Stegostoma tigrinum: one gene and its partners. The protein of the gene in region 4 interacts with the protein of the main gene of each other region in a pairwise test. Links are inferred from orthologs where the notes say so. Each region holds a gene or a part of one and is shown on either strand. Other genes may lie near its edges.

The links.
Region 1: the proteins of pde4dip (region 4) and airim interact in binary tests that used the Homo sapiens proteins (3 or more experiments, as listed by UniProt). The two-hybrid records come from large-scale screens. The link is inferred for Stegostoma tigrinum from reciprocal best matches to the Homo sapiens genes PDE4DIP and AIRIM.
Region 2: the proteins of pde4dip (region 4) and alpha-synuclein-like interact in a two-hybrid assay, tested with the Homo sapiens proteins (2 studies listed by BioGRID and IntAct). The link is inferred for Stegostoma tigrinum from reciprocal best matches to the Homo sapiens genes PDE4DIP and SNCA.
Region 3: the proteins of pde4dip (region 4) and ccdc146 interact in binary tests that used the Homo sapiens proteins (3 or more experiments, as listed by UniProt). The two-hybrid records come from large-scale screens. The link is inferred for Stegostoma tigrinum from reciprocal best matches to the Homo sapiens genes PDE4DIP and CCDC146.

What each region holds. Positions count from the first base shown.
Region 1 is NC_081377.1:9,424,370-9,432,482, reverse strand, and holds the start of airim (AFG2-interacting ribosome maturation factor), read right to left. Parts: upstream 3,152-8,113; 5' UTR 3,050-3,151; intron 3,044-3,049; exon of another isoform or gene 2,856-3,043; intron 514-2,855; 5' UTR 495-513; coding exon 223-494; intron 1-222. UniProt on the Homo sapiens protein: Part of the 55LCC heterohexameric ATPase complex which is chromatin-associated and promotes replisome proteostasis to maintain replication fork progression and genome stability.
Region 2 is NC_081354.1:9,864,284-9,871,877, reverse strand, and holds the start of alpha-synuclein-like, read right to left. Parts: upstream 3,121-7,594; 5' UTR 2,901-3,120; intron 2,790-2,900; 5' UTR 2,774-2,789; coding exon 2,653-2,773; intron 1,542-2,652; coding exon 1,500-1,541; intron 1-1,499. UniProt on the Homo sapiens protein: Neuronal protein that plays several roles in synaptic activity such as regulation of synaptic vesicle trafficking and subsequent neurotransmitter release.
Region 3 is NC_081378.1:24,325,258-24,332,657, reverse strand, and holds the start of ccdc146 (coiled-coil domain-containing protein 146), read right to left. Parts: upstream 3,081-7,400; 5' UTR 2,630-3,080; intron 1,894-2,629; exon of another isoform or gene 1,829-1,893; intron 1-1,828. Other genes in the region: protein FAM185A, read left to right, coding at 3,694-4,219. UniProt on the Homo sapiens protein: Essential for sperm flagellum biogenesis and male fertility.
Region 4 is NC_081361.1:47,556,805-47,564,657, reverse strand, and holds the start of pde4dip (myomegalin), read right to left. Parts: upstream 3,121-7,853; 5' UTR 1,554-3,120; coding exon 381-1,553; intron 1-380. UniProt on the Homo sapiens protein: Functions as an anchor sequestering components of the cAMP-dependent pathway to Golgi and/or centrosomes.

The DNA of each region.
Region 1 (8,113 bases), on a different chromosome or scaffold from region 4:
CAAATGAGAGTCTAGGATAATTCTATCCATTTTCTGCAGAAATCTGGATCACTGAGCCAACATTCCTGTAGATGCCATCGGCATTTCTAGAAAAACAATTGCACATTTAGTGCCAAGTGTAGCCTGACTTTAACAATAAACGACTCGATGGTTGTACAAATAAGTGTCAGGAGACAGTACTTCAGGCTTAATTATCAATAGATGAGCGATGCTGGAACCTACATTTTCTCACCAAGGCTTTCCAAATTGATTTCGATAGCCCGAGTGAGTTTGTATTTCAGACGGCACTGCAAATCAGGGAACACTCGAAAGGGGGTATTCATAAACACAACTTTGTTGCACGCTTGCAGTTGCTCTGCCAAGTTACTCAGCGAACTCAGGATTGGGATACATTCCGTCAGTGTACTTGCCCACAAATTTTGTTGCTGCTCAATAACATGGAAACATTTCTCCAAAACTTGATGAACAGCCAGCAAGGCTTGTCTCTGAGCCATGACTTTCTGCTACAATAACCTAAAAAGAAAATCACAAGCAAATGAATCCAATTGACAAGAAAAATATCCAGTGAAGTACAAATATCCAAAGAAATAAAAAAGGTAAAGCAAGTGTTTGATTTGTGGAAGTGATTAGACTATTAAGAGATTTTTTTTTAAATATATGACTTAGCAAACAATGTTCTTTAAAACTGCAGGTATTTAAACAAAAACACTCTGAAAATATCTGGTCATTCTTACAATTAAATTTCATATTAGCTTTATCTTGATCTTGGGCTCTAATTTTTTCCCTCCTTGTCAACCTTTGAACAGAATATAAAACCAGTACAGAATGACAATCTTCTGACCTGTACAATTATCTCCCTATAAAACTGATGCTATATTTATTTTTTCCCTTAATTACCATGGTTACCACAATAACCAGGAGATTGGTACTGAGTAAATTCTTGGAGCTGTAGGCTGGCAGATCCCCGGGTCCACACGGACTTCATCCTATAACCTTAAGTGAAGTGACTTGTGAGATGGGTGCTTTTAATTTTCCAAAATTTCCTCAATTTGGAGAAAATAGAGGCAAGGTGGAGTAGTCATGTCACTAGACTATTAATGGGGGACATGGAATCAAACATGGGTTTGAATCCCTCATGGCAGATGGTGAAACCTCAATAAAAAGCTAGCTAGTGGTGGCCATGTAATCACCACTGTTAAAATAAATCTGGTTCATTCATGTACTTTATGGAAGATAATCTCTCTCTCTGGTCTGACATAAATGTGACTTCAGACTGTCAGAAATGTGGTTGACTCTTCTGTGCTCTCTGGGCAGTAAATGTCATCTGGGCAATGCCACATCCTGCACATGGATCAAAGGAGTTTTGTTACACCGGAAGAAAGTGAAAATGGCACAATTCTTTTCAAATCAGACTTAAAGCAGGAACTCAGCCATAACCAGATGTTAAAAGCTACTGTCAAAGACAAAAGCACTTTGAAAAAATTCAAGTTAATCTCATAGAATCAACATAGCTTTGTTAAGGGAGAGTTAATTTTTTTAAAGGGTTCATAAAACCAACAACTGAACCAGCATCCACTGCTGTTTGTGGAACAGTGTTCCAAACATCTACCAGCTTGTGTGCAGACGTGCTTCCTAACATCTCTCCTGAATTGTCTGGCCCTAATTCTCAAACTGTGTCCCCTAGTTTGAGGATTCCCAACCAGTGAAAATAGTTTATCCATCTTTTCTTTTCCTGTTACATCATTTTTGTTTAAATCATGAAGACTACCTATTTCAGCCCCTGCTTGTTTTGAAAATGTCAACCATGTTTTCCAGACCAGAATATTTCATGCCTCTCATCCTTTTTAGTCTTGAGCTCATCCAAAACCCTGTTATCTGTATCCTAATTTCCAACAAAATGTTGTTGTACCCACACACTATTGCAGTTATTGTGTTTGCTGATCTGCATTTGCTTCCAAATCTCAGTAGGTTGAAGCATAAAGTGTTTAAATTCCTCAATCCCTTCCTAAAAAAAGATGTTGCCTGCAGATGTGGAATTCCTCCTTCAACTGACCCCTTCAACTTAAAACCCAATTCTGAATTTTAAGTTTCTTATTAATTTCAAAAATACACTTTATTCATTAAAAATATCTTGTGTATTATAAATAAATATAATACACACAGTACTGATCTGTGCAGTAGCATATCAAGAAAACAAACAGAAGTTGATTCTATCCAATCAAACCAAAGACATCTTTTTGAGTTTTAAGTCTTCCACGTAAACTTGTCCCTTCCGTAACTCAAGTGAGAATTTCTGATTACAATCTTGCGTGGTACTGACCAAAAATAACACCTCTATCCCAGTGACATTTACATAAGTAGTTAACAGCATGATGGTCCACAATTGAGAACAGATACTGGCCAGTTCACCAGAGACCACACTCTCTGGAAATGGCGCCTATGGGATTTGTTAGGGGCATCTGAGCAGGCATGTGGGACCTCCGATTAATATCTCACATGGGCGATGGAATCACTGTGCTCCTGTGAACTGACCGCCTTGAGGCGGCCTCATGGAAGCAATGGAAATGAACTACAACATGTCGGCAACAAAGCCCCATGAAAAAGCCTCCTCACAGAACGTTGCTGCTGACACTTTTCGAAGAATGTGCTGGAGAAGGGTCAGCCGACCCACAGCGTTAACCCCAGTTTCGTTCTCCACATATATGCTGACTGGCCTGCGGAGATTCCTCCAACAACACAGCAGGCCAAGCAGGATTTAGGAGCGAGAAAGTTGACGTTTCAGGCCTAGGCCCGAAACGTCAGCTTTTGTGCTCCTGAGATGCTGCTTGGCCTGCTGTGTTCATCCAGCTCCGCACCTTGTTATCTCGGATTCTCCAGCATCTGCAGTTCCTACTGTCTCTTCCTCCAACAATTTCTGCTTTCGGTTCAAGTTTTCAGAGGCGCGGTGGGCGAGAGTGACGCCGCGAGGAGCTCGACCAGTTAAGCGATTCAACACGCCCAAACGGGTGAGAAAAATAAAATAATACCCCGGCCCGACCAACGTACTCACATGTCAACGGCAGCGAGAGAAACTCCACAGCACTTTAATACCAAACGTCCCTACCACACGCCTTTATCCGCGCCTGCGCACATCTCACCCAACCACCAGGACTACAACCCCCATGATGCTCCGCGCGCAGTAAAAATTTTTTGGTATCCATCTCGCAAGAATATGAATATTACTGAGAAGACACAGACACACTTGGTTATTTTCGTGCTCTGTTCCTCCTTGGAGTTTAAAAATGATTTAGTTGCTGCAAGTTGAATTTTGGACGGTTGCTCTGTGAAGTGACATCCCACCATGATGGGCGATTGGATAGGTTTTGGGCCAGCCACGCTGCGATTGGGCATATCCTGGACAGTTCGTGCTGTGAATGGCTGATATCTGGGATAGCTGTGCTGCGATTGGCTGTGTCCTGGACAGGCCTTGCTGTGATTGGTTGATACCTGGCGCAGTTGTGCTATGATTGGTTGGACACGGTGAAGCAATCTGCCCCGGCCCACCGACGTCATGCTACCGTTAAAAAAGCACACCCAATGTCTCTGAGGTAACGAAGTGTGGAGTTGGATGAGTACAGCAGGCTAAGTAGCGTCTCAGGAGCACAAAAGCTTTGCCCTGTTGTGTTCGTCCAGCTCCACACTTTGTTATCTTGGATTCTCCAGCATCTGCAGTTCCCATTATCCCTGACACCCAATGTCTCTACTTCCTCAGAAGGCTAAGAAAATTTGGCATGGCCACAATGAGTCTTACCAATTTGTATAGATGCACCATAGAAAGCATCCTATCTGGACACATCACAGCTATCTTTTCAAATCAGAACTGGCACTCATGTATTACTTTATCTTTCTCACCCGCTTGGGCGTGTTGAATCGCTTAACTGGTCGAGCTCCTCGCGGAGTCACTCTGGCGTACCGTGCCCCCCTCGAGCCTCTGAAATGCCTCTGATGAAGGGTCTAGGCCCAAAACGTCAGCTTTTGTGCTCCTGGGATGCTGCTGGGCCTACTATGTTCATCCAGCCTCAGATTTTATTATCTCATGTATTGTACAGTTATTTTGTAACAATGCCTTAAACCAGTGTCATGTGAATCATTTCTGAAGAAGGGTCCAGACCGGAATCGTCAGCTTGTCCGGTCCTCTGATGCTGCCTGGCCTGCTGTGTGCATCCAGCTTTACACAGTGTTGTCTCCTGTGGATTGTCCTTGTTTACATTTCATCAAAACACTAAATGGCTTTGAACACCATCATTACCTCAACCACCCTTTGTTAACCACCCATAATTGCAAAAATGATGGTGAAGTACCTTAATAAACCATTGCAGTCCATGTGGTGTAGTTACACCGACAGTGGAATTATGGAAAGAGTTCAAGAGTTTTGACCAAGTTACAGTGAAGAAGAGAGTGACCAATTATATCAATTTCAGGAAGCGGAATGGAGGCCATGCCCCTGTCTGTATCAATGATGCTGAGGTGGCAGCAGTCAAGATCTTCATGTTCCTAGGAATAAATACAACAATAACCTGCCCTGGTCCATTCATGTCATGCTACCATTCAGGAAGAACACCAATGCCTCATCTTCCTCAGAAGGCTAAGAAAATTTGGCATATCCACAATGATTCTTATCAATTTTTATAGATGCACCATAGAAAGCATCGTATTTGGATGCATCACAGCTTGGTATGACAACTGCTTTGGCCAAGACCACAAGAAATTAAAGACATTTGTGAACACAGCCCATCATGAAAATCAGCCCTCCTTCCATTATCTCCGTGTACACTTCTCATTTCCTCAGGAAAGCAGCCAGTATAATCAAATACCCCTGCCATCTTGGTTATATTCTCTTCCACCCTCTTCCATTGGGAAGAAGATACGAAAGTTTGAAAACACATACTCATATTTAAGAACAGCTTCTTCCCTGCTGTTGTCAAACTTGAGAAGAAACCTGTCATATATCAGAGTTGATCTTTCTCTGTGCGTTCTCTACAGCTGTAACACTATGTTCTGCATTCTGTTCTATTACCCTGATGTAGTTGTGTACAATATGACTTGTCTGGTTCGTACGTAATGCAATACTTTCACTATCTCGCTACGTTGACCAATAATAAATCAAATCAAATCAAGATAGTTTGGTAATCAGAGCTCCATGTTTAAAATTGGCTAAAAAGTAGACAGTTGTTTTCACTTTTACAGTTTGGATCTAGAATGCACAATGTGAAAGACTCGGTGAACTAAATTCCACAGGAGCTTTCTAAAGGCAATTGAATGCATATTTGTAAAGTAAAAATTTTATGCAGTGGAGGGTTGAACTTGCGAGTAGGAATAAAATGGGAAGTTTAGATTAAATGACCCTTTTATAGTATAATATTTTATGAAAAGTTGACACTGAGACACATAACGCATTAGTACAGATGTCTAACAAAACTGATCAAAGCAGTACATTTTAGAGACGCCTTCCAAGAGGTTAAATGTTGGAATATCTGTGCTTGGGACCAAGACAACTGATGACACAGTTGCTAAACTCCATCCAGCCTGTGCCATTCAATCCTTCCTTTTCAGAGGCGACTTCAGCTCGGCACTAGTCTATGACAAACTCTCCAACAAGTAAACACAGGGCTATGATCTTCTCTTAAAACTGGTGTTCAGACCATTTTCTGTTTGCTATATAAGCAAACTCATTTAGATCTTTCACTGATAAGCAGGTCCCTAAGGTTACCTATCATTCCCCAATCAAATGTTGCTCACTGGGACAGTGAGATTTTCCGCGCAGTTAATTACACTTTCTACACTTCTTTTGGCCAATTTGTCAAAATGCTTTGATCGGACATGCTCGTTTGAAGATGATTCAGTGTGTATTATGGGTAACAGTTACTATTTAGAAGAATTTGATTTGTTAAAAAGGCAACGTATGTGATTCTTTGAATCCCTTTTCCCATTTTATCTCCTTCCCCCTCCTCTTTTCTCAATTCTGTCCATCTACTTTCCTTCTATCAAATTAACAGCCCAGCAATAATACCATTAGGCCATCATCTGCACTTATTAAAGGTCAAAAGTATAAAGCAACATTTCCCAACACCTTTCAGTTCTGCAGTTAGAATGATCATTCTGGACTTAAAATGCTAATCCTGTTTCTCCCTCCACTAATATTGCCAGATCTGCTGAGTTTCTTCATGATTTTGTGCTTGCTACGGTGAGGATGGATCTATTCTCACTCCAGAAGGGATTGAGATCAAGGCAAAGCAATTGACAAAAGACAGAAAGTGTGATTTCAGACAAAGCCAATTCCCATAGTATATGCATGGGATGCTATATGCACTGCTGGAGGAACAGCATTGATTGTTGTAGTCAGAAGGCTTATTCATTGGAAAGAAGCCGTAGATCAGCCGACTGATTGACTCTGGAGATAGTAGGAACTGCAGATGCTGCAGAATCTGAGACAACAAAGTGTCGAACTGGATGAACACAGCAGGTCAAGCAGCACCAGAGGAGCAGAAAAGCTGTCTTTTTAGGTCTAGACCCTTCTTCAGAAATGGGGGAGGGGAAGGGGATTCTGAAATAAGCAGGGAGAAAGGGGGAGGTGGATAGAAGATGGATGAAGGAGGAGATCGGTGGAGATGAGACAGATAAGTCAAGCTAGGGTTGGAGCCAGTAAAAGTGTATGTAGGTGGGGAGTTAGGGAGGGGATAGGTCGGTCCAGGGAGGACGGACAGGTCAAGGAGGTGGGAATGAGGCTGGTGGGTAGGAGATGGGGGCGGGGTTTGAGGTGGGTGGAGTGGATAGATGGGAGAACACGTTACGGAAGCGAGTACGAGCTGGGATGCTTTTGGAATGTGGTTGGGGGAGGGGAGATTTTGAAGCTTGTGAAGTCCACATTGATACCATTAGGCTGCAGGGTTCCCAAGCGGAATATGAGTTGCTGTTCCTGCAACCTTCGGGTGGCGTCATTGTGGCACTGCAGGAGGCCCAGGATGGACATGTCTAAAGAATGGGAGGGGGAGTTAAAATGGTTCACGACTGGGAGGTGCAGTTGTTTATTGCGAACCGAGTGAAGGTTTTTTTTGTTGAAGAAGGGTCTCGACCCGAAACGTCTAACTTTCCTGCTTCCCTGATGCCGCTTGCTCCGCTGTGTTCACCCAGCTCTACACCTGATTTTCTCAGATTCTCCAGCATTCGCAGTTCCTACTGTGGCTGTAGAGTGTGTACGTAGCCCGAGCTCTGATTGGCTGACGTTCGTTTCATGGGCGTGGAATAGCCTATGATTGGATGCGATGTGTTCGGCGGGTGTGGCCTGGGCTTTGATTGGCTGTCCGCGGGGGTTTGAAATTTAACTGTTGTCAGGGCGCGGAGCGCTGGAGCTGGAGCTGGAGCGGGAGCGGGATCTGACCGCCTGACTGACTGAGAGTGAGAGTTCGGGGTGAGTTGTGGCTCCGCCGGCTCGTCGTGAGCCGGAGTGTGCGATACGGAGTTGTGGGTCAGTCTGAACGGCCTTGGGCTGGCGGTGGTGGTACAGGAGCGGCTGAGAGGGGTCACTCCGGAAGGATTCACTCACTGCGGCTCGGCCCCCAGAGTGACACATGCCCCTGATCCTTGCAGAAGGAGAGAGAGGAGGGGAGGACATCGCCCCACTCATCGCCGCCCCCACCCCGATGGACACCTTTGTGTGTGTCCGTGTCCATGTCCATCCTTCGGGCACAAACACCGACTGTCACCGTCATTGAGGTTCTACCCCTCCCCGTTGGGGAAGGATGTTTATACCGGCATGACGTGGGTGGGGGGGAAGGGAAAGAAAGGGTTTGCAAGGAAGACGGAGAGCAGACCTGCTATGATCCACTCCAGGAAGTTCAACTTGTGATTGTGATTCCCACCTCTGCTGTCAGCATGACCCTCCAGTGCCTGGAAACATTGTTAGAGTTGGTAAGGTTCTTTCACAGGATTTGCAGTTGATGCAAATGTTTCCAGACCTCAAGTGGAAGGAAAGGGGGGGAACAAATTGCTGGAGGAAGGACTGGCTGTATCTGTGGAGAGGAAGCAGAGCATTTTGAGTCCAGTGAGCTGCCTTCAGAACATTTTAAGTGGAGGG
Region 2 (7,594 bases), on a different chromosome or scaffold from region 4:
AAGAGGAGCAAGAGTCAAATTAAAAATCTTTAGGAAAGTGATCAGAGACGAATTAAAATGTTACTCAAAGGTAGATGCATGTTTGGCATCTATCAGCACTTATACACATGGTCATTTTTCCATTTTCAACAGCTCTAGCAAGTGGTAGCAGTCACATAGAAAGTTGCTACATGTGGAAATATCAGATGCTCCACCTTTACAGAACAGTACTCCAAATAATTCTGTTACAAAGGACCACAGGTTTGCACAGGTGAGGCAACCTCACGGAACTCATCATTTCCCAATCGTCTACAGTCTCAGCATCCAATTAGCTTTCTAATAAGTCTGCAACTTTTGATTCTGGCCACCATCTGAAAAACCAAATCAAACAAGTTAATTTCTCTTGGTCTGAAGAGCTATTTCTTGATGTTGCCTTTCACCAACTTGCCCTCGTTTGTTTATACATGCGTAAAGGAATTAACTCAGCCTTTGAATACAGAAAACATAAGTAGTTAAACACAAGATAAGGTGTGATTTTAAGTATGAGTGAATATCTGGATCCACACAAGCTCCGTAGAGCCAAGCTATATTGATGTCTGAACACTGCACTCTTGCTGTTTAAAGCCTCAACATTACCATACCTTGATCTAGGTCGTCTAACATTTTCAGTCTCAATGATGGCTTGTATTAAATAGAAATTTTTCACACAGAAACAGTCCATACGGCCTGGCAACTTTTAAGCTTCATGTGGGTCACAGTAGCAAACCAACGTAATACTGGAGGTTCTGCCAACAGTACAGACAGACAGGAAATGGCATTAAACACGAAGCCTGGTGGTGAAACTACACTCACTACTCAGAAAGCCAGTAGTACAAGATACTCCCGCTATACTCACTGTAACAGTCAACGTGGCTGTTTCTTCTCTCATATGTTGCATCAAAGAAAAGCTCAAACCTATTCTACAGGTCAGTCTGACCCATTGTACATATTGGGATTAACAGTTAACTTTTGAGGAAAGTTTGCAAATACTTGCTTTGTATTTCCTTGAGATGAAAGCTGTTCTAATTATGATTTGAGACGATCAAAGGAGTAGATAGGAAAGAGACAGAGAGACTGACTAGTTTCTCAGGGATGCGGCGGGGAGTGGGGGGGGGGGGGTGGTGGAGAAGCAGAATACAGATTAAAATTTGAACCAGGCCAATTTGGGGTGATGTCAAGAAGTAATTCCTCATACAAAGTGGATTGCAAATCTGGAACTTCCTCCTCCAAAAACATTTGAGGCTGTGACTTAATTGAAAATTTCAAAACCAAGATAAGATTTTTAACAGCAGGAATATTCAGGATTACAGAAGTAAACTAATTTAAAGGTCAGGCATGATCTAACTGGAAAGCAGAAGATGATGGAAGGCAGAATGCCCTCTTTCTGTGCTCCTAATTCTGTACTTAGAAACAGACCCACACATATAGACAAAGAGACTAGCACACACATAACATTACAGAATTCTATTGATTATTGATACCTGAAGATACGCCATGAAATACACCTTCCTTGGTCCTGGAGCCTAGAGATAAATACATTAAAGAAGAAGTAAAAATAAATAAAAACCCCTATTAATAAATTGTCACAAATCACAGCAGCAAATCCTCTTTCCCCAGGCTCAGGTCAAAATTAAGCAGCCAAGGCGTGGAGAGGTGTTAAAGGCTAGCATCAACGAAAGCAGGAAAAACTGACAACGGGTTGGTCAGCCGGGGAAGAGCCACGGGATCTGGAAATAACAGGGAGCTGCTTGTTAGGCAGGGGTTAAGCACGCCATTGTTCCACTTCCCCGGGACCTTGTACCTTCCCCATCCTCACCCTCGCATCTTCTCTCCTCCCTCTAGCTGGACCGCTGGAGAAATGACAGCCTGCCAGCAGGTTCAAATCCCACCTGCGCCTGAGGTGTGTTATGTCAAACAAATTGCTTCAACAACATAGATAATAATAATGATGACAGTTCCGAAATTAGTGCAAGACAGACATGGGGGGGGGGGGGGGTGCCCGTGGAAAACATTAAAAACCTCAAATTTAAAGGAAAATAGATCAAATTCGGGTTTAAGTCCTTAAATTTCAAGCTGCAGGAAATAAATTACATTGGCCTTACCATTGACACGTGTCAATGTCCCCAACTCAGTGCACACAGCAGAAAAGGTCTTCAGAATTCAGCAACGAAATGACCTTGACCGCAACCTTCCCGCTCATCGAATTTAACACACACACATCCAATGTTACATTCGTTCTAAATTTGTTGGAAAATAATTCCTTTTCAGCACCCGACGGTTTACGTTTTACAAATCTGCACTGGATTAGTTCTGGATTTTTTTTAAAAAACATATACAAAGAAATCTCCCTCCCTCCCGGTGCCAAAACACTTGATGCTCTGCTTCTCTGCAACTTCCATATTTCGGATTTGGAAGTGGCAGCTATCCTTCCTCCCCGTCTGACAAATCACCCCACACACCGTTCTTACCAGAGAATAAAAGGAAAGCTTTCTATTATTCCTCCGTGTTTCTTACACATCCCACCCCCATCCCCCCAAAGGTGTAAGATTGGGTGAATGGAGTTGTGTGTGTTTTTACCCCGTGCCATTTCTTGTCTGAAAAGACAGCCATGTGAAGCATTAATTTTCTACCTACCCACATACAGCACCCCATCCTTCGTTTTTCCCGCCGCCTCTGCCACTCCCTGCTTCGTTTTCTCGGCAGCAGCTACTACCCCATCCTTCGCCTTGGACAGCCCTTTCATGAAAACGTCCATGGTTACTCTTTGGTCACTAGGCGAAAGAGAGAGAGACACAGAGATCACACAATAAGTAAGCCTCTACAGTGACTTAAACCACCTAAAATCTGAGAACCACAAACACCGACACGACGTTCAAGTTTACCGTTTGATTTGTTTATCGGAGAGAGAAAAAAAAATAATTCCCCCAGCTGTTCAGTACATCACTGCAGCATCAAGGTTTGGTTTAGGATGGTTGAGCTAAACGCAGCCCAGAGCTGAAACCACCGAAAGCTCCAGCGCCTGGTGTTTGAACAGATTGGTTCTGACTCCAACTGAGCAGCCCAGCTTCTTCCCCACTGCGTCCTCATTCGAGGAAAGCAGACGTGCCTCCTGATTTGTGGTTGTGAAGGGCTTTCATCTCTCGGTTCCAACCCACCTCCCACCACCCGTGGGGACATTCGGCCCCCACCTTCCCTCCTCTTCGCCCTCGGCTGCAACATTTATATAAAACACATCAACTTCAATCGAAAGGAATGCTTCATCATCTTGGATCTGTCTCGCCTGTGGAAATTATTCTTCTGTTGCCATGTGCCGAAGACTAGCCCTGCAGTATTTTAAATCTTTCAGATGGAGAAATGCACAGCAATATATGTTGAACACGTTACCCTTTTTTTGTAGTGACTGGTACGTTTGCTATTAATATAGTATATATGTGTAAAAAAAACTACCACCTCTCCCTCCTCTCTATTTCTGTAAATGCTTTTAAGAATTTAATCCAATGTAATTTCTTGACGACAGTAAACAGACAAATGAAAATGAAAATTTGAGATTCTGAATTAATTGCTTGTTTCATTTGTTTCTGATGCCAGATTAAGTGATGTTGTGTTGACAGCAGTAAAGAGAAAAACCCTCCAACAATTGTGTTTCAGCAATATTTCAATAATAATGTTATACTTTTCTTAGCGTATTGAGTGCAAAGTCATGCAGAGAAGCCTCAGAAAATCTGATGACTTTTGCCATCTGGGGGAAGTGTAAATGCTAAATAGAGCAGAAAGAAATAGTCGCGAGTCACATTGAATCAATTTTTAATACCATGCAATGAAAAACAAAATCTGTGTAAAATAAGATGCTGATTGTCCTCTTATGAAAAAAACAAATCTTCAAACTAAGCCTGTGAGGGATTCAAATAATTGCATTAACATTTGCTGAGGAAATTCTTTCTTCAATATTTTCTGTGTCAATATCTGAGGGACTGTGGATGTGACAGTTCAACAATGGAACATTGCCTCAACAAATCTTTCAAACGATTGTCATGAATGCATTAAGTCCACAAAGCCAGTATCCCATCACCAAGCCATCCTTTATTTACATGCCCATGCCACCGATCTGGGTCCCAAAGAGCCAGATCTCAGAGTGAGCAGGATGTCTGGCACTCCGAGATCACAAGGTGTGGAGCCGGATGAACATAGCAGGCTAAGCAGCACCTTAGAAGCTGGAATGCTGACGTTTCGGGCCTAGACCCTTCATCAGAAATGGGGGAGGGGAAGGGTGTTCTGAAATAAATAGGAAGAGAGGGAGAGGCAGATCAAAGATGGATAGAGAAGACAGGTGGAGAGGAGACAGGCAAGTTAAAGAGGCAGGAGTGGAGCCAGTAGAAGTGAGTAGGTAGGGAGGAGACAGGTCAGTCCAGGAGGACGGACAGATCAAGGGGGCGGGATGAGGTTAGTAAGTAGGAAATGAGCGTGCGGCTTGCGGTGGGAGGAGGGGATGGGTGAGAGGAAGAACAGGTTAGGGAGGCGGGGATGAGTTTGGCTGGTTTTGGGATGCGGTGAGGGCAGGGGAGATTTTGAAGCTTGTGAAATCTACATTGATACCATTGGGCTGCAGGATTCCCAAGCGGAATATGAGCTGCTGTCCCTGCAACCTTCAGGTGGCATCATTGTGGCACTGCAGGCGCCCCAGGATGGACATGTCATCTGAAGAATGGGATTGCGAGTTGAAATGGTTTGCAACCGGGAGGTGCAGCTGTTTGTTGCGAACCGAGCGGAGGTGTTCTGCAAAGCGGTCCCCAAGCCTCTGCTTCATTTCCCCAATGTAGAGGAGGCCACAACGGGAACAGCGGATGCAGTATACCACACTAGCACATGTGCAAGTGAACCTCTACTTGATGTGGAAAGTCTTCTTGGGATCTGGGGATGGGAGTGAGAGTGAACAATCTCATTGTTACCCAACCCCGCACCACCCGCTTCTATCTCCTTCCCAAAATTCACAAACCTGCCTCCGCTGGTCGAACCATTGTCTCAGCCTGCTCCTGCCCCACCAAAATCATCTCCACCTATCTGGACTCCATTTTCTCCCCTTTGGTCCAGGTACTCCCCAACTACGTCCGTGACACCACCCACGCCTTACACTTCCTCCAGAACTTCCAATTCCCCAGTCCCCAACACCTCATTTTTACTGTGGACGTCCGGACCCTAAACACCAGCAGTCCTCATACAGATGACCTAAAGGCCCTCTGCTTCTTATTGTCCCGCAGGCCCGACCAGTCTCCCTCCAATGACACCCTCATCTGCTTAGTCGAACTCGTCCTCACCCTCACCCTCAACAACTTCTCTTTCAATTCATCCCATTTCCTACAGACAAAGGGGGTGGCCATGGGTACCCACATGGGCCCAAGCTACGCCTGCCTATTTTTAGGTTACGTGGAACAGTCCCTCTTCCGCACCTACGCTGGCCCTAAAGCCCACCTCCTCCTCTGTTGCATTGATGACTGTATCGGTGCCACCTCGTGTTCCCACAAGGCGTTTGAACAGTTCATCCACTTCACCAACACCTTCCATCCCAACCTCAAGTTCACCTGGACTATCTCTTACACCTCCCTCACCTTCCTGGACCTCTCTGTTTCCATCTCAGGCAAGCACCTAGAAACCGACATCCATTTCAAGCCCACTGACTCCCACAATTACCTATACACTTCCTCGCACCCACCTTCCTGCAAAAATGCCATCCCCTCTCCACAGTTCCTTCGCTTCCACCGCCTCTGCTTCCAGGATGAGGCATTCCACTCCCGCACATTTCAGATGTCCTCGTTTTTCAAGGACTGCAACTTCCGCCCTATTGTGGTCAAGAACGCCCTCAGCCATGTCTCCCGCATTTCCCATAACTCATCCCTCACACCCCGTCCCCGCAATAACAAACAAAAGAGAATCCTCCTCTTCCTCACATACCACCCCATCAACCTCCGGATCCAACGCATCATCCTCCGACACTTCTGCCATCTGCAAACCGAACCCAACAACAAAGACAATTTTCCCTTCCCACACTTGTCTGCTTTCTGGAGGGACCACTCTCTCTGTGACTCCCTTGTCCACTCCACACTCCCCTGCAGCCCCACCACACCCGGCACCTTCCCCTGCAACTGCAGCAAGTGCTACACCTGCCCCCACACCTCCTCCCTCACCCCCATCCCAGGCCCCAAGAAGACTTTCCACATCAAGTAGAGGTTCACTTGCACATCTGGCAATGTGGTATACTGCATCCGCTCTTCCCATGGTGGCCTCCTCTACATCGGGGAAATGAAGCAGAGGCTTGGGGGCCGCTTTGCAGAACACCTACGCTCGGTTCACAATAAACAGCTGCACCTCCCGGTCGCGAACCATTTCAGCTCCCCCTCCCATTCTTTAGATGACATGTCCATCCTGGGCCTCCTGCAGTGCCACAATGATGCCACCCGAAGGTTACAGGATCAGTTCTCATATTTCGCTTGGGAACCCTGCAGCCCAATGGTATCAGTATGGACTTCACAAGCTTCAAAATCTCCCCTCCCCTCACTGCATTCCAAAATCAGCCCAGCTCATCCCCTCCCCCCACTGCATCCCAAAACCAGCCAAACTCGTCCCCGCCTCCCTAACCTGTTCTTTCTCTCACCAATCCCCTCCTCCCACCTCCATTTCCCACCTACTAACCTCATCCCGCCTCCTTGACCTGTCCATCCTCCCCGGACTGACCTATCACCTCCCCACCTATACTCTCCTCTCCACCTATCTTCTCCTCTATCCACCTTTAATCTGCCTCCCCCTCTCTCCCTATTTATTTCAGAACCCTCTTCCCCTCCCCCATTTCTGATGAAGGGTCTAGGCCCGAAACGTCAGCGTTCCAGCTCCTAAGGTGCTGCTTGGCCTGCTGTGTTCATCTGGCTCCACACCTTGTGATCTCAGAGTGTCAGACATCCTGCTCACTCTGAGATCTGGCTCAGTGGGAGCTAGATCAGTGGCAAGGACGTCCAGCTCCACACCTTGTGATCTCAGATTCTCCAGCGTCTGCACTTCCTATTATGTCTGACACTCCTGTTTATGCCTGTCAGCCCACACTTCCTGATTGGACAAAATTAACAGCCCCTCATCCACCATGTCCCACTCAGATTCCAAGGTATTATTCAATGCTTGATGGAGAGGGAGAACCCACAGATCCTGGAACAGTCAGAAAAGCTGTTGAGGAGCTGAGCACATTTTCCCACTCCACTGTTTGCAAGTTTGTAATTTTCATGTGGTCCACCAGGTGCTTATTCAGGACTATCACACCTACCTGAACTTTATATGACATGGACGTGCAGGTATTGGACTGGGGAGGACAAAGTCAGAAGTCACATGACACCAGGTTATAGTCCAACAGGTTTATTTGAAATCACAAGCTTTGGGAGGGCTGCCCTTCACCAAGTGAAGTGACAGAGAAGTGTGCAGAACACATAATTTATGGGCAGAGAGATCAACAGATCATACAAAAGTATAAGTGGCAAGTTGAATAATAAGTCCCTGCAGGTGATCCAAAGTGTTAGACAGTGTGAGCAAAGTTCAACAG
Region 3 (7,400 bases), on a different chromosome or scaffold from region 4:
ATTTGACTGATTATGCATCAATAAGCCCTGGCAAACTAGAGTCAATGGGAACTAAGGGGTTGAATCTACATTGGTTGAAGTCATATTCAAGCACGAAGGAAGATAGCTGTGGTTCTTGGAGGTCAAACCATCTCAACCACATGACATCACTGCTGGAGTTGCCTAAGGTAGTGTTCTTGCCTCAGTCATCTTCAGCTGGAGATGTTTATTGACAATTGCATAATGTTCAACAACATTCGCAACTCTTCAACTATTGAATATGTCCATGTACATTCAAAAGCAGCAAAACCTGAGCAACATCCAGTTTTGGGCTGATAAGAGGCAAGTTATATTTTTGCCCAGTATTACATCTCCAGTAAGAGAATTCAACCATCCGCCCTTGACATTTAATAGCATTGGATTCCCTCCGGTGAGGAAACAGGCCCTTCAGTCAAACAAGTTCACACCGCCCCTTGAAGCATCCCACCCAGACCCATCCCCCTATAACCCACACACCCCTGAACACTACGGGCCATTTTGCATGGCCAATCCACCTAGCCTACACATCTTTGGACTGTGGGAGGAAACTGGAGCACCCAGAGGAAACCCACGCAGACATGGGGAGAATGTGCAAACTCCACACATACAATCACCCGAGGCTGGAATCGAACCTGGGTCCCTGGTGCTATGAGGCTGCAGTGCTAACCGCTGAGCCACTGTGCCACCCTTAGCATCACTGAAAACCACAAACAACATCTTGGAGATCACTATTGACCAGAAATTGAACTAGGCTAGCTATGTTAGTACTGTGGCTACAACAGCAAGTCCAAGGCTTAGAACACTGCAAACAAAAACTGAAAGAACTGTGGATGCTGTAAATCAGGAAAAAACAACACAGAAGTTAATGGAAAAGCCCAGTGGTTCTGGTAGCATCTATGAAGTAAAAGGGGGCATTTAAACAGTCCTTGGATAAGCATATGGATGATGATGGGATAGTGTAGTGGGAGGGGCTTAGATTAGTTCACAGGTCGGCGCAACATCAAGGGCCAAAGGGACTGTTCTGCGCTGTATTGTTCTATGTTCTAAGAGTCAGAGTTAACATTTTGGGTCTGTTCTGAAGAAGGGCCACCAGACCCAAAAGTTAACTGATTTTTCTTAACAGACACTGCCAGACCAACTCAGCTTTTCCTGCAACTTCTGCTTCTGAGCTTAGAAATCTGCATTGGGTAATTCACCTCTTGATTCCATAAAGGAGGTGAGTGAGCAAAGGGTCGGGATAGGATGGTGGTTCAATGTGCCAGGGTACTGTGGTAATTATACACAGGGCAAGGGAAGGTGATCAATGCACACAGGGCAGGGAAGACGTCAGTGCATACATGGCAGGGGAGAGGTCATTGCAGACAGGGCAGGAGGAGATCAGTACACACATGGCAGGGGAGGGGTGTCAATATAGACTGGGCTTTGAGGGGGGGTAGGTGTGGTCAGAATACATATTGGGGGTTGATGCAGACATGGCAAGGGCAGAGGTGGTCAGTGAACACAGGGCAGGGGAAGTGGTCAGTGCACACAGGTCGGCGGTGCGGACATTGCACAGAGCGCGGAGGTTGTCAGTTTACACAGGACGTGGGGTGGTCAGTGCACATAGGCCAGGGGATGGTCAGTGTAGACAAGGCCGTGAGTGGGATAGGAGTGGTCAGTCCACATGGGGCGGGTGCACACTTGGTGATGGTGTGGGTCAGAACATCAACACTAGAGTTTGTGGATTAAAGCTGTAATCGGTGCCTTTCTGGTATTTTTGTTTTTCTGTTCTGCGCCGTCTAGATTTGAAGCCCTCGCCTTTGAGATGTACCTGAGGAGCTGCTGACACTCTCCGGGATCCTCTTCCAGTTTGTGGTCAACAAGCGTCATCTCCATAGCAACCATACACACAGTTAGTTCGCACCCAGCCATTGGGCAACATGGGATTCATCTGGACCAATAGCAAAGCTACTAAAATAAATCCCGGAAACCCGGAAAGGCCCAACAATAAGAGATAACAAGGCGTCGAGATGGATGAACACGGCAGGTCAGGCAGCATCAGAGGAGCAGGAAAGGTCCAAACCCGAAACGTCAGCCTTCCTGCTCCTCTGATGCTGGCTGACCTGCTGTGTTCATCAGCTCTATGCCTTGTTAACCTCAGATTCTCCAGCATCTGCATTTCCTACTATCTCAAAGTCCAACAATAAACTCATTTCCCTCATGCAATGCAGACTAATTGTTAATACGACTTAGATACTACGAACGCATTTCCTTTATTTATATTTGTGCAGCCTTAAATCTCTCACCAACTGTCCTTCAAGTTATACAAAAGAAATCCGCTGAACCCAGTTGTGAACCAAGGTAGACAAATAGGAGGCTGTCAAAACACAGCAAGCTAGGCAACATAACTTGGAAAGGAGAAGGCGACATTTCGGGAATTAGAGATAACAAAGTGTGGAGCTGGATGAACAGCAGGACTGCCTTTGGCATGAACCCTTCGGCAGATCTACATCAGAAGACATTTCGCGAAAAATCGCTTATTTTGTAAAAATTTCTTTGAATGACATCAACAATTGGGGTACAGTGGTAAAGCTTCTCCTTTTGAATTAGAAGATCCGGGTTCAAGTCCCACCTGCTCCAGAGCCGTGTTATTCACGTATCTGAACAGGTGCATTCCTGCGACAAAAACAGAAATTGTTAGCGAAATTCAGCAGGTCTGACAGCATCTGTTCACCAGAGAGTTAACTCTGCTTTCTCCACACGGTTGCTACCAGCTTGAGAATTTTGCCAGCGACTTCTTCTTTCAGATCTATGGCGTCCTGAGTTCTTTGTTTTATTGTGCGCATGACAGACAGTTGCACATCTGCCAATGTGGTATACTGCATCCACTGTACCCGGTGTGGCTTCCTCTACATTGGGGAAACCAAGCGGAGGCTTGGGGACCGCTTTGCAGAACACCTCCGCTCGGTTCGCAACAAACAACTGCACCTCCCAGTCGCAAACCATTTCCACTCCCCCTCCCATTCTTTAGACGACATGTCCATCATGGACCTCCTGCAGTGCCACAATGATGCCACCCGAAGGTTGCAGGAACAGCAACTCATATTCCGCTTGGGAACCCTGCAGCCCAATGGTATCAATGTGGACTTCACCAGCTTCAAAATCTCCCCTTCCCCCACCGCATCCCTAAACCAGCCCAGTTCGCCCTCTCCCCCCACTGCACCACACAATCAGCCCAGCTCTTCCCCTCCACCCACTGCATCCCAAAACCAGTCCAACCCGTCTCTGCCTCCCTAACCTGTTCTTCCTCCCAACCCAAGCCGCACCCCCATCTCCTACCTACTAACCTCATCCCACCTCCTTGACCTGTCCGTCTTCCCTGGACTGACGAATCCCCTCCCTACCTCCCCACCTATACTCTCCTCTCCACCCATCTTCTTCTCTCTCCATCTTCAGTCCGCCTCCCCCTCTCTCCCTATTTATTCCAGTTCCCTCTCCCACTCCCCCTCTCTGATGAAGGGTCTAGGCCCGAAACGTCAGCTTTTGTGCTCCTGAGATGCTGCTGGACCTGCTGCGTTCATCCAGCCTCACATTTTATTATCTTAGTTGCTCTTCGTTGCTCGCTGCAATGCTTGGACAGCTGCAACCGTTTGTACTGCATTGTGGGAATTGTAGTTCGCAATCGTCCGGTTAAAGATGCGTGCGCGGACTTCAACTCCCGACAGCACTTTCTCCTCTACCCATAACAACAGAAAGTTGGCGTTGTGGTTTTCTCCTGAGCCGTGGAGGATCCGGTATTCTGTCCCTGGTTTCGGCTCCGGCATGACTTCCTTCCCTCTGTTTTTCCGCCGAGGCTGGTCAGCGCTTTTGCCGAGGGAATGCGGCCCGTCTTTTGCCCGTCTGCGGCCTTGGAGGTCGGTGTCGGGCACCCGCTGCCTGGACTCCCGGCACAAGGGTAGCGCCTTGAAACGCTGGACTCTGCTGGTAGATCCTTTCGGCTCTTTAAAGGTGCGCCTGCCCTGCGATGTGTCGGTGAAGCCGCTGGACCCGCACGGCTACCCGTCGGCTGACCGCGCTTTCGTCGAACTCATTTCCCCAAACCAAGGGGAGAATATGGACGATGTTCTGGTGAAGTACGACAAGGCTCTGAAACAGATGGTGGTGACTTCTGAAAAAATCAGCGGCGATACTCGCATCGATTTGGTCACTCCGGTAAAGTTTGGTAAGTGCATTTTGTGAAACTGAACCCTGTTTTCGTTTTGGAGGTAGTAGGAACTGCCGATGCTGGAGAATCTGAAATAACACGCTGTGAGGCTGGATGAACACAGCAGGCCAAGCAGCATCAAAGGAGCTGGAAAGCTTGAAAGAAGAAGGGTCCCGACCCGAAACGTCAAGCTTTCCTGCTCCCCTGATGCTGCTTGGCCTGCTGTGTTCATCCAGCCTCACATCGTGTTAGTGATAATGGGAACTGCAGATGCTGGAGAATCCAAGATAATAAAATGTGAGGCTGGATGAACACAGCAGGCCCAGCAGCATCTCAGGAGCACAAAAGCTGACGTTTCGGGCCTAGACCCTTCATCAGAGAGGGGGATGGGGTGAGGGTTCTGGAATAAATAGGGAGAGAGGGGGAGGCGGACCGAAGATGGAGAGAAAAGAAGATAGGTGGAGAGGAGAGTATAAGTGGGGAGGTAGGGAGGGGATAGGTCAGTCCAGGGAAGACGGACAGGTCAAGGAGGTGGGATGAGGTTAGTAGGGAGGAGATGGAGGTGCAGCTTGGGGTGGGAGGAAGGGATGGGTGAGAGGAAGAACAGGTTAGGGAGGCAGAGACAGGTTGGACTGGTTTTGGGATGCAGTGGGTGGAGGGGAAAAGCTGGGCTGGTTATGTGGTGCAGTGGGGGGAGGGGACGAACTGGGCTGGTTTTGGGATGCAGCGGGGGAAGCGGAGATTTTGAAGCTGGTGAAGTCCACATTGATGCCATTGGGCTGCAGGGTTCCCAAGCAGAATATGAGTTGCTGTTCCTGCAATAAGCAATGGTTCGCAATAAGCAACTGCACCTCCCAGTCGCAAACCATTTCCACTCCCCCTCCCATTCTTTAGATGACGTACATCATGGGCCTCCTGCAGTGCCACAATGATGCCACCCAAAGGTTGCAGGAACAGCAACTCATATTCCGCTTGGGAACCCTGCAGCCCAATGGCATCAATGTGGACTTCACCAGCTTCAAAATCTCCCCTTTCCCCCACCGCATCCCAAAACCAGCCCAGTTCGTCTCCTCCCCCCACTGCACCACACAACCAGCCCAGCTCTTCCCCTCCACCCAGTGCATCCCAAAACCAGCCCAGCCTGTCTCTGCCTCCCTAACCTGTTCTTCCTCTCACCCATCCCTTCCTCCCACCCCAAGCCGCACCTCCATTTCCTACCTACTAACCTCATCCCACCTCCTTGACCTGTCCGTCTTCCCTGGACTGACTATCCCCTCCTTACCTCCCCACCTATACTCTCCTCTCCACCTATCTTGTTTCCTCTCCATCTTCGGTCTGCCTCCCCATCTCTCCCTATTTATTCCAGAACCCTCACCCCATCCCCCTCTCTGATGAAGGGTCTAGGCCCGAAACGTCAGCTTTTGTGCTCCTGAGATGCTGCTGGGCCTGCTGTGTTCATCCAGCCTCACATTTTATTATCTCACATCGTGTTATCCCCGTTTTTGTTTTGAAGGGTGCCAGTCTTTTCAGCGAAACCCTAGTAGTTTGAGATCCAAAAGAGATCGTGATGCCCGGAGCATAAAAACAATTTGGATCCGGGCATGTTTCCTTTGCTGCTTCTGTAAATCTGCTAATTGTTTCCATGTGTTTAAAACAGTGGTGTACCTGTCGTCGTTTTTAGTGGCTTTTGGAAGTTACCATGGATATTTTGGAACCAATATAAAAAGGCCATGGAAATAATGGGAAATTATCTACATGTTGCACTGTCAGTACCCATTCTAAGGGGATCCCAAGTTAATTAAATACTTACTGCTGTTTTATGTAGAGTGCATGCAACATACACACGCTTAGTTCAGCAGGGGACGAATGCTTTAGCATTAGACTCATTTATGAGAATCACTTTACTGACTGTTTTGCTTCAGAGTTTCAGCATTTTTTGGGGGTGGGGGGGAGGTTTATGTGCTTGAGCTGCTGGAGTTAGTTTTGAGCATGTGATCAGGCTTAGATCGTTACGAAATAGGAACAGGAGCAGGCTGTTTGGCCCATCAAACATGATCCGTCTTTCAATATATTTATAGCAGATCCAGTATTCCTCACGTCCGCTTTCCTGCTCTTTCCCCATAACCCTTGATTCCCCGATTTTTTTTTTTTTTTTTTTTTTTGATCAAGAATCTATCTTAGCCTTAAATATTCACAAGAACTCTGCCCCACAGCTGTCTGTGACAAGACCCAGATGACACAGCAGTTGCATCTATGAGGAGGAGGAAAAAGTCTTTTGTCAATTTTTGTTTGTTGTTTTTGTGTGTGTTTATTTATGTCCTTAGAAGTTTGTGTGAAATAAGATAGTTTATATGGGTGGCTTGTAAGGATAGGTAAAAAGTAGTTGTTATGCAACTTTTAATTTGTCTGTGGAATTAGAGTTTTGATTGACTTACTACGTCCTTCAAGGTATACTTAGGCAAAATTATCTCTCATATGAAAATAGTTTAATGTTGTAAGGCCATAAATTATGAGTAGGAGTAAACCACTTGGTCCCTTTGACCCTACAACACCATTTATGGCTTATGACCAATTTATGGTGTTAACCCCAATTTCCTATCTGTTCCCATAATCTGTAAATTTTTTTGATGCATCAAAGAGTTATCTAACTTGGATTTGAATATATTCAATGAGCCTGCCTCCCCTGCTCCCTGTGGAAGACAATTACAAAGACTTATGACCCATCAAGAGAAGAAATTCCTTCTCATTCGTCTTGAGAGGCCCCTCCTTTTGAAATTGTCCCCAGTTCTAGACAGATTCCCTGAAAGGAAACCTCTTCCCTGCACCTCTGAGAAGTCCCCTCAGAATCTTATTTCAATAAGACAAACCTTGCTTTCTTCTAAACTGTAATGAATACAGTCTCAATCTTTATGTATAAAACAACCATTTTCAAATCACTAATCCATCCACAGTTCTCTGAACTATATATCCCCTTTTAATGGTAAGAGGTTGATAAAGTTGATGACAGGGAAGTTGTAAATCTTCTTCCAAATTATCATCTTTCCTCATTCCAATTCACCCTAAGCTCTTCTGGGCCCAGATGAGGTTTTTTGTTCTATTAGTACTATAGAGAAGCTTGTTCAACTAAACATTCCCATTTTACATACAATGCATTTTTAAAGCAATGGGAATATAATTGCAAATGTACTGTGTATTTTAA
Region 4 (7,853 bases):
AAACAGAAAATGCTGGATAAACTCAGCAGATCTGGCAGCATCTGGAGAGAGAGAGGGGGGGGGGAGAGAGAGAGAGCGAGAGAGAGTGAGAGAGAGATTTAACGTTTCAGATCCAATGACTCCTCACTCTGACTGGACTTGAAATGTTAACTCTGTTTCTCTCACCACAGATGCTGCCACACCTGCTGATAACTTTTCTAGCATTTTGTGTTTATTTATGCTGGGCTGGGGGGTTGGGTCATTAAATAAAAAAAGCTCAGCAACTATTTTAAAATATTACACCGAGATTTGTCCGATGGCTCTGTTGCTTCTAAGTGTTAATCTGGGTCAGAAGAATATTGGGAAGATAACAAATTAGATAGTAGTCACAATTCAAATACCTGGGTGCAAATTGGAATATATTCATCAAGGACGTCCTGAAAGAGTTCCTCAAGATCTGCCACATCATCAAAGTTAAGGTGCATCCTGAGAGGATCTATGCCTTTGTTAACAATTTCACAAGCATTGTTCTGTAAATGAGACCTGGAAGTCCCATCCAAAGTACCACTTGATTGAGAGCCCAATGGAGAAGGCCTGACTGGAACTGGCAGTTTGCTGCCTTTTGGGATCGGTACAGGCCTATATTCAACATTCTTCACCAAGCCAAGGACAAAGTCTAGTTTTTGTCTATACAACAAAGGATGGGTTCCTTGACCATCTGAAAAGTCTGATTTGGGACTTCTGTCATCTTTGGCACATTTTTCTACTTGTGCTGCTTCATTGGTCTGCCCAGAGCAAGACTCCACCGTAGGACCAAGTGATTCAACAGAAGAGGCTGGAGATATTTTATCCAGTGAGTCAGCATAGACAGAAGTCCTAGACTCACACTGCCCAACAGGCACCGTTTCACATATGACTGGCATTGCAAGTCCTTCCTCAGCAGTTGTGCTGCCCACCACACTACTTCCACACTTAATGGAATGATCAGAAGAAACAGTCTTCGCCAACTTGCGAGGTAGTCTGCAAACTGCCTCATAATCTGCATCAGTCACACGCAAGGCTGAACAGCTGCGACACTTCCGGGATTTGTAGCTTGAGGTGTCTGAAGTCTGGCAACTGTGAGTTTCCATGGCTTCCTCACCTTGCTCTGTCCATGATTCAAATCCAGAATATACAAAGTCATCCTGTAGCAGTGCATGATACCGAACATCAGGTAGGTTGGAGCTCCCCACTGCAACATCCTCCCCCTTGGTGTCAGTACTTGGCTCCTCATTATTTTTACGATATAGACTAGCTATGCAGTACTTGATACGATCTTTCTCTACGAGTAACTTCTGCAAACGCTCAATGGACAGTGCCTCAATCCTTGCAATAACTGTATCAAATTTGTAGATACGGTCTAACATAAATGCACATTTGCTGCAAGCAAACTCTGCCTTGCCATCTCGAGATACCTCTTTTTCCAGTACGTGAGATAGGATAACCTGTAGGTTTAGTCTGGAAGCTGTGTGAAAGATCCATCGTCGTTGGTTACCACACAGTTCCCGGGCACAGATCCTACAAACCTCCTTCATTCTCCAGCATGTAGTTGACTGAACACTGAAGTAGCTAAAATAAACACACACAAAAAACAACCAGCCAATGTGTTTAAATATGAAGAGAAATGTCACAAACTTAGTTCACGTGGGCTTTGACCTTGGGTTCTGGAGAATAATTAAAAAGCTAGCTGGTTTGTATCGATAAATAGGTAAAGTTTCAGCAGCAAAGCTTCAAACAACCGGGCCAGCAGGAAGCCAATCAAAATCCGTGCTTGTAAGCAAGCCACCAAATGTACACAGGCTCCTGTGCACTGCCGTTGCATCCCACATTAATGTTGGGCTGTAAGTTATTCAGGGTTTTTAAAAAAAATGACAGGCGTTATCTGGAGGCATTTCAGGGCGTAGGTCGGCGGCGTCACTTCCAATCTCGGTATTATATTAACGCTTTTACAAATGATGTTCCATAAGCATAAATACCCTGCAATAAATTATTAATTCAAAATCGGTATCCTATATAATTGAGTGTTCCCTCATTTTCTTTGTCTCCAGTTTAAAGGCAATCCTGGTTAAATTTAACGCAATTACAGGTGAATGAAGAAGTGGGCGGCGGTTCCTACGTTTCAGAGAAACAGTATCTTTCTCCGAGAAATTTCGGCCAAGGGTATCTGTTCACGAGCAATGCCAGTAAGAGTTCATTGCATCGTGTCGCCGAATGAATACCAGCCCGTTTTATTCTCGAGTCGTTTGAGAAACATCTGCATCTCGCTGGGCACGCTGACTACCCAAGGTATGATATTAATTCGGCCAGAGAGAGAAAGAAAAAAAAAAATCACCAGTCACCAGCCCGTCGTCATCTTCGCTGCTCTCAGTCAGTGGTGGTGGAGAGCGAGTAGTTTCATATCGGAGGCTGAAGGCACTGCGCATTGAATATCAAACAAAGGCACCAGAGGCCGATTAACGGGAGCAGACTGAAAGAGAGAGATTCTGCGTAAAATTAATTAAATCACGTCCCGTTAGGTGGCTTTCCCGGATGCGATGTCAGGGGGGACGGGAAACTGCTGCTTTGTAATTATCCAACCCGGCAGTGATGTGGCAACAATGTCGCCGAGTCTGACTTTCTGTTTCGGGCAGACATCTGGGAGAAACCACCCGTTACCTGGGGAGAAGCCGCTACATTCTGCCTCTCTCCAGCTCAATGCCCAATCACGTACTGTACTGCGACCGACAACAAAGTAACCGCATTCAATCAGGCACAATTCCGGGAGGTAACCCACCGGAAAAAAACCTCCAAAGGCGAAGAGGAAGGACCGATCAACCCTTGCGCGCACCCGTCTGCATCGTGGTACGGTTCTCCGCCCCGGCAGCCCGTCTACATCTGGAGGAATATTATCTTTCTCAGAGATAAATTTTCTGAAGAAGGGTCTAGGCCAGAAACTTCAGCCATCCTGCTCTTCTGATGCTGCTTGGCCTGCTGTGTTCTTCCAGCTCTGCACTTGTCTCATATCTTTCTCCGGCTCGGTTTCCCATGTCGGGGGGAAGACTCTAACCAAGACCCGGCTCCCTACTCACGAACGAACTCCCATCCCACACGCACGCACGGAAAATCGGACAGAAAAATTTGTTTCCGCATGTTGTGAATAAGGGGTTAAATGTTGTGAAAACACCGCGGGTTTCGACAACCTGGCTTGATAATTTTGTATCGGAAAATATTTTTTGCATTTATCTTGAAAGATAGTTTTGTGCGAGGTTGGCGGGCATTGTGGTAAACTCCCCGCTGCAGTCACGAAAAATACAACTGATCCCTTGTCTCGTACTCTTTTTCAAAATAAAATCTGTAAGCCATGAATGACCTGGGTGCTTCAAGTCCTGGTTTAAAATCGGGAGGTTCAGAGCAGTGTCAGAAATGTTCTAGTAATCCATAGAAAAAAAACCCAATACATTTGATTGTTCCATGCCGTTCTGACCTTAAGTTGGGAATGCTTAAGAAAAAGAAAACGCTTTATTACGGTCTCTTGCAGGATCTTGTACCCTACAGCCAAAAATACGTTTTGAATGATCACCGAAAATGCTGGAGAAACTCAGCAAGCCTGGCAGCATGTGTGCAGCTAGAAGCAAAAGTTAATGTTTCGAGTCCAGCATAAGTCTTCAGAATTCAGACGATGCCTCTGGCATTTTCTATGTTTGTTTCAGATTTATTGCACCAGTAGTATTTTGCGCAAAACATATCTGACACGCAGTTATTAGCATCAGACAATTTGCACAGGCTAGACCCCACAAACAGCAGAAAAGTAGATAACCAGATAATTGGAGATATTGGTTGAAGGACAAATATGAGCTAGGTCACCTTACACGCACTGATTCTAATAGTGATCATGACAAACATATGCACAAATCCATTGACTTTTTTTGGCTTCTTCCCTCTCACCGTAACCCCCTGTTCACTTTTGATGTTTTGCATTGCCCTTCATAGGCTTTATATTTAAATATTTAATTGGCTACCCAAATGATTTACTGGTGGTGGTTAAAAAAGGGGAAAAAAAAATCAGTGATTTTGGTGATGGGAAAGTTGCATGTGATAGCACTTGTGTATGTACAAAAAAAAGCAGGAACACAGTAGGCCATTTAGCCAATTAGTTCTTTCCTGCTATTCAGGAGACCATGATTGATCTTATTGAGGCTTCAACTCTATCTACCTGCTCCTCCCCATAAAACTTTCCACATCCTTGATGTACCATATGATTTTTTAAAAATTCCTTTGATGGTGCAGATGGGGCCTTGGTTAAAGGATTGTCTAAGAAGCAAAAAAATCCTAGCCATACTTAAATAAATTGACATTTTAGGACTAAATTTTCTCTGCTAAAATGGGTAGCTGAATTGGGGGATTTCCGAATTAACTGATTTGTCTCATTAGAAAGGAGCTTAAATCTCACGATCAATACTCTGGTGGGGTATCTGGAAAGATGAGATAGACCAGTACCTACTGACCTAAGAAGCTTGCTGGCCATGATGGCAGGCTGTTTTTTTTTCAGAAAGCCTACCTCATTTCTTTATCTCAGTAGTGTTATAAAAGATGTAATGCACTCATGTCTTAAGCCCATCCATTCCTCATTATCCTCTCATCCAACCAACCTACGCCATGAGCATTCAGCTGTGCTGACAGATTTCTTACACCTGTTCTTATTACGGATCCTTGGCTCAAAACTCAGACCCAAAAGAATTATCTTGGTAGGGGCTTCTGTTTTGACAAATGAAGAAAATTCTTAATTTTCCTCGACTGACATCTTTAAGTGGTTATAACAAGTTCTGGGATCTCATGTCAATGTCACAATTTTTTTTTGCCCAAGAATAAATGTGTGAAGTGTCTGAAGCCTGTCATGAACATTTTTAATAATTTTGATTGAGCCTTTTTCATTGGGTTGTATGGATGATTTCATTTTTCAAAAGGTGATTTGTGAATGGATGAGTAGTTTTCTGAACAGGTCCAACAACATTACTGTTACTGTACAGATCAGTGGTTCTGTTCTGTGCAGGTAGTGATTTGAAGGGAACATGAACAGGAATGGGAGGGGCTTGGAAAATACATGAAAGACTTTTTGAAATTATTTTTCAAAACATTCTAATTATGGTTCACAGCTGTTCTGAGGGGCCACGAACCATGAGCAATCCAGAAGCTGACCAGACTCCTTGAAAATTGTGGGAGGCTAAGAGAATGCTTCCACAAATACAGCATGCCAGCTTGGAAGTGCACATTGTGAGCTAGCCAGCATCATCCTTGCATCAATCCATCAAAATTTGGAATACTAGGAATAGAGGCAGGAATCAAATTCCACCCACTATTTTTCAATGACACTGAAGATTTTCTAATTCTAGAAAATTAGGTGAACTTTTAACAGATGAGCTTGTATCCATGACTGTCTACCTCAAAGTAAAGTGTACTATTGCTAAACCAAAAACCTAGTGACCAGAGATCTTGATGAATGTTCTAGATTGAATACTTTATTTGTATATGAATGGAGGGCTGGGGAGTTATATGAAAGGTAGGGGAGAATCTAGACCAGAACTATGGAGAAAATAAAACATACTAACTCAAGATATTGTCTGGCCTGGCTAACAATCCCACATTCTGTGAATGAATAAAAAGAATACTGCAGTGGGAAAAGTGTGGAAAAAAAATGCTCTAAGTATAGTTCACCTCTTAATCAAGTCAAGTAGTTACAATGAATTGGTTACCTTTTGCACTGTTCACAAAACAGTAAATAAAATGTTGACAGCATCTTCAGGAAACATCAAGGTTTCTTTTCAAAAACAAAGTTGCTGGAAAAGCTCAGCAGGTCTGGCAGCGTCTGTGGAGGAGAAAATAGAGTTAATGTTTCAGGTCTGGTGACCCTTCCTCAGAACTGTTCCGAAAAGTTCTGAGGAAGGGTCACCGGATCCAAAATGTTAACTCTGTTTTCTCCTTCACAGATGCTGCCAGACCTGCTGAGCTTTTCCAGCAACTTTGTTTTTGTTCCTGATTTACAGCATCCGCAGTTCTTTTCGTTTTTAATCAAGGTTCATTTTGACAAGGCACAGAACAAAGAATTGTGCTGATAGTCATAGGTGGCAATGATAGTTTTGCACAGAAGCTGAATGATATGGTGTAACTATTGGAAGATAGCCATTGGCCTAACCTCTCAATTCTGATTATTGTATATTTTGATTGTCTCAGAAATGATGCCAGTTGTGAGACAAACAGAAAAAAAATGCTATCACCATTACTGACTTTGCACATAGTGAAGAAGTGAAAGAGCAGGTTTATGTAGACATAGATCATGCATTTAGCACCAACTGATTATAAATGAAATTTCAATGTATAGATTGGTAGAAATATCAGCAGTTTTACATAAGTGCCAACTTTACTCAATGGTCATATCTGCACTTAATTTTTAGCATATTAAAAAGGTATTACATTAAGGGCACTGGATATGAAAACAGGTAAAATGGACTGGCAAATTAGGTTAAGAAGTCTGTCAATAGATTACCAATGACAGACCTTTAAGTGGATATAATAAGGAATACTGAATGATTACATTCCACTGAGAGAGAAAAAAAATCTAGAGGAAGGACCTGCCACTCCATCTTAACTAGAAAAGTTAAAGATACTGTTAAACTTAAAGAAAACACATAAAATTGTATAAAGATGGGTGGCAATTAAAAAATTACTCAGAACATAAAAGGCAGAGAAGGACAAATATACAATAACAGTGGAAAATAAGAGTAAGAGAGAAAGCTAGTTGGAAATAAAAGAACTGATCATAGGAGCTTTCATTAGCTTTATTCTTTTGTAAAATAAAAGTGAGTGGGGTTCTGTCAAACAAAGTCTGGGGAAGATAAGGAGATGATTGATAAATTGAAGATTTGGCATTTTGTATCAGTTTTCACAACAGAAGACACAAGTATCATTCCAGGAATAGCTGTAAGTCAGGAAATAGAAAGGAAGGAGGAGCTCAAAAATAAAAGATAGATTCATCACAGAAGAGATGCTGAGGAAATTGCTGGAGTTGCGGACTGACAAATCCATGTGTCCTGATAGACTTTATGCCAGGGTCTGAAAAGTAATGATTAAGGAGTTCAAGCATTAGTTCTAATTATTTAAAACTCCCTTGATTTGGGGGAAGGATCCTATAGATTGGAAGTAGTGGGTTTAACTGCTTTATTCAAAAAGGGAGGGAAAAAGAAAGAAAGCAGGAAACTACTGACCAATTAGCTTTGTGCGATCATAGGAACAGGATTAGGCCACTTAGCCCCTCAAGCCTGTTCCACCATTATTTTATAACCTCTGTGGAAGGAAAATGCTAGAACCTATTAATTAAGAAATTGTAGCCGGGCACTTGAGAACATGAATGCAATCAGGCAGAATAACATGGTTTATGAAAGGAAATCATGCTTAACCAATTGAGCAACTTGTGCTGGGGATAAAGGGGAACTGCTGAACGTAATGTAGTGATGGCATGTTACAAAGTCTCTAAAATGTATTTAAAATGTGTTTTATATGTAAATAGTTTGGTTTTTTCTATTTCATCTTCATTAGTTTTGCAAAATAAACTCCTGCTTTATTATTTAAAACAAATCTGCAGCATCACATATTTTCAGTGAACAACCACCTCATTAAAGGCAAAAATAAAATCCATCAAGCCAAATTCTAACTTGTTATTGATTACATTAATTGGATCATTAACATTTCACTATCATTTAGGCCACTCTCACTTAGCCAGCTCTCTTGTCTGATCAGATAACAGTGTGGAGTTGGACAGGCCAGGCAGCATCAGAGTGGCAGAAAAGTTGATGTTTTGGGTC